Kluyveromyces lactis: one gene and its partner. The protein of the gene in region 1 purifies or fractionates together with the protein of each later gene. This does not show direct contact. Links are inferred from orthologs where the notes say so. Each region holds a gene or a part of one and is shown in the gene's direction. Other genes may lie near its edges. The genes, in order: KIN28 and SSL1.

Region 1 (3,144 bases):
GTTCGTATAAAGAACTGGGTGAGAAACAGCAACACACTATACACCAATACGTACCCTCGAGTGAGGTTTCACACTAGATTGATGTTCAGGGTGCTTTCTTCTATACATATATGCAACTTTATTTTATACTATTTACAGTGTAAATCCAATTATCATTCCCTGGCGCAGAACGGTGTTTCCAACTGAATATTTGATCAAGCTGACATGTCCTGAAGTAATTGCTTAGCCTTCTGCTCAGAACTAAACGCGTCCATAGCATCAATTACATCATCTAGCCTCTCACCCTTCATGACCCCCTCGATATCATATAGTGTGAAGCCACATCTATGGTCCGTGATTCTATTCTGTGGGTAATTATAAGTTCTGATCTTGTCAGATCTGTCTGTCGTGGAAACTTGATCTTTCCTTGCATTCCTCTCTTTCTCCTCTTTCTCAAGCCTTTCCTTTTCGGCCAACCTTGCTCGTAGGATAGCAAAGGCTTTGGCTTTGTTTCTGTGTTGAGACCTTTCTTCCTGCATTGAAATCACAATGCCTGATGGATAATGTGTCAACCTGACAGCAGAATCTGTAGTGTTGACATGCTGCCCACCTTTACCACTGGCTCTCATGACATCGATACGAATCTCATCTGGCTTGAAAGTCCTCTCGTATGCATCAGATTCACTTTCTTCACCCATTTTGGGTAGCACAATGACGGCCGCAGTGGAAGTATGAGTTCTTCCCTTTGATTCTGTGGCAGGCACTCTTTGAACACGATGAACTCCGGCTTCGAATTTCAATTTATCATAAGAACCTGGTTCATCTATATTCAAGATTGCTTCCAGGACTCCGCTACCGCTTGCGTTCTCAGTTTTTGATATTAGGTTCCATTTCCATTTATGATAATTTGCATAGTTAATGTACATGTTCAACAGATCTTGAGTGAATATCATAGCTTCAGAACCACCGACACCAGGCCTTAGTTCTAATATACTGGGTTTATCTGCAAAAGGATGAGGCGGTAGGAGTTTATTCAATAAAGAGTCCCCTGTCTTGTTCAAATCTGGGAGTAGTGCTGCTATGTCTGCTTCGGCTTCTTCTCGTAATGATGGATCTAATTCCAGTATCTCCTGTAGTTCTTTATACTGATTGACTTCTTCTCTGTATTTGGAATACGAATCCACAATCGTAGATAGTTTGGCAAAATTCTTCTGTTTCTCAAGATCGAAGGATCCACCCTGCGACAACAGGTCCTCTAACTCTCGCAATTCATTGACATACAGCTCTGCTCTTGATATTAGCGATGAGTGCAATGGTCGAAATTCGACGGCTTCAGAACTGTTAAATCTGACTTGAAGAGCCACGTTTCGAAAGAACTTTCCTCTTCCAAACAATTTTGAGATCATTTCCCCAATCGAATGTAGTTTTTAACTCTGAAGATCCGATGGTACTTCGTTTTGATTCACCATACACTTCTTCCTTTACATAGCATAATATGTATCAAACTTTCAAAGATTTTTCATATTTAATATAGAAAGGTCCAAGCTTCTGCCAACATGCAGATAGACATTTGATGTTTAAAGTCATCGTTGGATCTGGGAACTGATTCTGTCATACGGTAGAGCTCGAAGTTATAAACCATGACCCTAAAATCTACTGTTGATGACTATACTAAGGAGAAAAAGGCTGGTGAAGGTACGTATGCCGTGGTTTATTTGGGAACTAAGAAGTCCACTGGAAGGAGTATTGCGGTGAAGGAGATCAAGACCTCACAGTTCAAAGATGGACTTGACATGTCAGCATTACGTGAAGTGAAGTTTCTACAAGAGTTGAAGCATGTGAATGTTATTGAATTAGTAGACGTTTTCATGGCAAACGATAATTTGAATTTAGTGTTGGAGTTTCTACCTGCCGACTTGGAGATCATTATTAAGGACACTTCTATTATGTTCAGTCCAGCAGATATTAAGTCCTGGATTCTAATGACTTTGAGAGGTGTACACCATTGTCATAGAAACTTCATACTTCATAGAGATTTGAAGCCAAATAATTTACTATTAGCACCTGATGGTCAATTGAAAATCGCAGATTTTGGTCTAGCCAGACTAATGGCGTCACCACAGGAGATTTTGACCAGTAACGTTGTTACCAGATGGTACAGAGCACCGGAGCTCTTATTTGGTGCAAAACACTACACCTCTGCGGTCGATATCTGGTCTGTCGGTGTTATATTCGCAGAATTAATGTTGAGAATTCCTTATTTGCCGGGGAAAGATGATGTTGATCAGATAAACGTAACATTCCGTGCGTTAGGAACTCCTACTGATGCGGATTGGCCTGAAGTTTCTAGTTTTAGCAATTATAATAAGATTCAAATATATCCACCTCCATCGAGAGAGGAATTGAGAAGAAGATTCATAGCGGCTACGGAAAATGCACTTGAACTGATAAGTGGGATGATGATAATGAACCCTAAAAAGAGATGGGATGCAGTCAAGTGTCTACAAAGTCAATATTTCCAGGAATTGCCGGAGCCTACACTTCCACAAGATCTTCCTAAGCTCAATAAATGAAAATACCTAGATATATTTTGAATAGAATACGAGGATATGTACGAAAAAAAAGTTCATTATTGCATGTTATCTGTTATTCCTAACCGTGAAGTATCTTCTTCACGTATCTCCCGATTGGGATACTTGACGTTAAACCTGGAGATTCGATACCTAGCAGGTTAACAAACCCCGGGAATCCTTCTTCTTCTTTAATATAGAAATCTTTGAATTCTGTGTCACCTGGTGCTGCTAATTTAGGCCTGATACCGCAGTATGAAGCCTCTAATTCACCTGGTTGCAGATGAGGGAAATATCTTGTGATGGTTTTGGCAGCGTCTTCAATATTCAGCGGGTTTGGGATCAGATCATCCGCAGAGTCAACATATTCAAGATCAGGACCGAATCTCACTTGATGATTTAAATCAATGGTCAAATGAGTTCCCAATGATTTGCCATTTCTGGGAGGCACAGGATAGATCAATCTTCTCACAGCTGGAACTTGAGTCTTCGAAGTGAAATAATTGCCCTTGGCATAATATTGCTTTACCTGACGTTCAGGTGGTAAGATCATATTAGCAATCTTGTCTGCATATAATCCAGCAGCGTTGATAAC
Region 2 (3,616 bases), about 470 kb from region 1:
GATGGCAGATCTGGTGACAGATCTGGAAGAACACAAGGGGGTAGCAACTCAGATATCATGTTGGCGGATGCTTTCATTAAGAACGTTCATCAAGGGATCGATTGGGAGAAGGGCTTCCAAGCTATGTATACCAATGCAGAAGTGGAGCCGCCTTACATTGAGGACCCTATGGCTAACGACTCGACAAACAAATTTGGGAGAGGCGCTTTAAAAGAATGGCTTGAATTGGGGTACATAACAAGAAATTACTCAAGAAGTGTCACCAGAACTATGGAGTATTCGTATAACGATTTTGCCCTTTATATCGTTGCCAAAGGTCTCGGTAAAAAAGATTTAGCAAAGACATACCTTGAAAGATCGAAAAACTGGCGTAACATTTGGAACCCAAATGCTAAAAGTGTGAATATACACTATGACTACACCGGATTCGTACAACCTAGGAATTCTGACGGTACGTTTGCTCAACATAGATATGATCCGTTTACATGCTTTGGTTGCTATTGGAGAGACGATGAATATGAAGGAAAACCCGTGGAATATGGGTGGACGGTGCCTTTTGATATGAAGACTTTATTAGAATACATTGGTTCGAAAGCAATGTTTGAAAAACGTTTAGATGATATGTATGCGTTCTGTGGCCATGAGAACGTGGTTGATATTGGCAATGAACCAAGTTTTTTGACACCTTATCTTTACGCGTACATTAACAGACAAGATAAAACGTCAGCATTAGTGGATTGGATCATAAATACAAAGTTTAAGACGGGACCGCGTGGTTTGCCAGGGAATTCTGATGCAGGAGCCATGCAAGCGTGGCTAACCTTTGCCCTTCTAGGTTTTTATCCCGTGGCTGGTACTGATATTTATTTATTAACAAGTCCGAAAGTTAATTATTTGAAACTTAAAAGCATGCCTAACGTTCCAGATATTGAAATTTTTGCACATAACTTATATTCAGAATTTGGTGTCAGAAACAACTTCATTGAGAAAGTTGTTATCAATGACAAAGAACTCGATAAGAACTGGTTTAGACATTCCGAGCTATTCGAACACGGTGGTACCATCGAATACTACATGAGTGAAAAACCATTGGACTGGGATTCAGATAAAGAGTGTCCACCACAAGAATTCAGCGTTTAAGATTCAAGTATAATGGTGTAGTTCGTTAAATAAAATCAGTGATTATTAGGTTTTACATACAACCCTCGCTATTTTGTGTTGAAACTTTTTGATCATATGATCACATGATCAAAATCATGTAAGAAAATTTAGTGAATTTATAACAAGTGAAGCAAGATTTGAAGGTTAAAGAGTAACGCTACACCAATTTGGCTGAATAGACGTAGAGCTCCAGGCATTAGTCGATTTTTTAATTGGACTACATTTGGCTGTACTCTGGTCAAATTTTATTAATCGTTTTTGATTACGATAATGCCTCCTATTATAGATAGTGAATCAGACGATGAACGGATCATTGGAATCACTAACAAGAGACATAGACAAGATGGTCAGACCAAAGTGCTGAAAAACAAAGTGAAGAAGCATGTTAGAACAAAAGAAACTGCAGATTCGGATGGTGCAGGCAATGGGAATTCTAGTGATGATGAAGAGGATGAACGAGTTCATTCACAACTATCAAAGAGAAGTCGTGATCCAAGAAAAATGAAGAAGAAAAAGAAGAAGAAGCTGTCCAACAAGAACTTACAAGGTGTCAATGGTGGTTATGCCTGGGAAGATGACATTCAAAGAAGTTGGGACCTTGTCAAAGTTGATGATGAAGGCAATATCGCTGCTATTGTGGCAAGCATAGTTGAAGCAAGAAAAAAAAGGGCAGCAGAGAAGACGGTTACTCCGTATCAAAGAGGTATTATCAGAACCCTTATCTTGGTATTGGATTGTAGCGAAGCAATGATGGAAAAAGATTTGCGACCTAATAGATATGCAATGACAGTACAATATGCTGTAGACTTTATTCATGAGTATTTTGATCAAAATCCTATTTCTCAAATTGGTGTAGTTGTTATGCGTGATGGTTTAGCTCAGCTAATATCGCAGGTCAGTGGTAACCCTCAAGAACATATCGATGCTTTAAAGATGCTTCGTAGGCAAGAACCAAAGGGGAACGCTTCTTTACAAAATGCTTTAGAGATGGCTAGAGGTCTCTTACTTCATGTTCCAGCGCATTGTACTAGAGAAGTACTCATCGTTTTCGGTGCATTATCAACTACAGATCCAGGTGATATTCATCAAACGATTGGCTCATTGGTACATGAGAATATTAGAGCAAAAGTTATTGGTCTATCTGCTCAAGTCTCCGTTTGCAAAGAGTTGTGTAAGCAGACGAATTATGGAGATAACTCATATTATGGGATTATATTGAACGATCATCATTTTAAGGAACTATTCACAAGTGCAGTGACACCGTTACCGGTGAGCAAAGTGAACAAAGGGTTCACCTTGGTTAAGATGGGATTCCCTACCAGAGTATTTGAGGACACACCATCATTTTGTGCTTGCCATTCGACTCTAGTCCATGGTGGTTACGTCTGTCCCAATTGCAAAACTAAGGTTTGCTCTCTACCGACAGTATGTCCGAGTTGTGATTTGATGTTGATACTCTCAACACATTTAGCAAGATCGTATCATCATTTGATGCCTCTTAAGACTTTCCAAGAAGTCCCAGTGTCAGATAGCTTCCCTACAGACTATTGCTTCGGCTGCCAAAAGCGATTCCCCACCTTAAGAAATAACAAAACAGGCGAACTATTAACAAGCAGCAGGTACAGATGTGAAGAGTGTGATCAAGATTTTTGTATAGATTGTGATGTATTCATTCATGAAACGTTACACAACTGCCCTGGGTGTGAGTCCAAACCAATCAATGTAAATATCAAATGAATTTAACCCGCTAATCATTTTCTCGGTAGTTCCAAGAAGAAAATATCACAAGAACGACTTTTAAACATTGACTCAAATTGTATATAACATTGAATGGTTACTAAAAAAAAGGCACTCACATCCTTTACATCTATTTACAATGTACTCCCCCTGGGTTGGCTGGATACCGCTTTCCCTACAATTGTATAAATCTCATCTCCTAATCATTATCTGCTTGTTTAGTGCATCTCAGATTGTGACAAAATAAAAAGTAACGATTATTTTCAAAATTTTTCAGCTCATCGGAGAAATTGCAAAATGAAACCTCGAATAGAAAAGGCAACAAGATACCAACCGATTTTTCAACGACCTCACAAAAAAAAAATACTGTACTGAATAAACTTCCTGTTACCATCAAGTTTGTGCTATATCTCTAGGACAGGTAGGTTCTTTCAAACTTGAGATTCACAGGGAGTTCAACCGTACGTCTCTTTACATTTGCATTGGCTTCTTACTGTTGATTTTTCCAATCACTTTAGTCTGCTGTCAATCCGGTTTAACTGATTTCACTAATTAAATCGGACTCATCCTCTTCACAATTAAACATTTCTGTTAAGTGGTTGAATATACAGCAGAGATTGTTGCATTATTTTATTTATTTTGATATTTGACATCCTTCCTGAAAGAGTTCATACCAACTCGAAATTATCACAATCACAATTACATTGATACTATACAA

Evidence for each region.
Region 2: the proteins of KIN28 (region 1) and SSL1 purify together in Saccharomyces cerevisiae (affinity purification with mass spectrometry; 3 studies listed by BioGRID, with this or other methods). This does not show direct contact. The link is inferred for Kluyveromyces lactis from reciprocal best matches to the Saccharomyces cerevisiae genes KIN28 and SSL1.

The regions. Positions count from the first base shown.
Region 1 is NC_006041.1:1,323,151-1,326,294, reverse strand, and holds KIN28 (TFIIH complex serine/threonine-protein kinase subunit KIN28), read left to right. Parts: upstream 1-1,619; coding exon 1,620-2,552; downstream 2,553-3,144. Other genes in the region: MRF1 (Mrf1p), read right to left, coding at 195-1,385; KLLA0_E14763g (NAD(P)/FAD-dependent oxidoreductase), read right to left, coding at 2,632-3,144. UniProt on the Saccharomyces cerevisiae protein: Catalytic component of the TFIIK complex (KIN28-CCL1 dimer) which is the protein kinase component of transcription factor IIH (TFIIH) and phosphorylates the C-terminal domain of RNA polymerase II during transition from transcription to elongation after preinitiation complex (PIC) formation, thereby positively regulating transcription.
Region 2 is NC_006041.1:850,156-853,771, forward strand, and holds SSL1 (TFIIH/NER complex subunit SSL1), read left to right. Parts: upstream 1-1,431; coding exon 1,432-2,898; downstream 2,899-3,616. Other genes in the region: KLLA0_E09593g (uncharacterized protein), read left to right, coding at 1-1,140. UniProt on the Saccharomyces cerevisiae protein: Component of the general transcription and DNA repair factor IIH (TFIIH) core complex, which is involved in general and transcription-coupled nucleotide excision repair (NER) of damaged DNA and, when complexed to TFIIK, in RNA transcription by RNA polymerase II.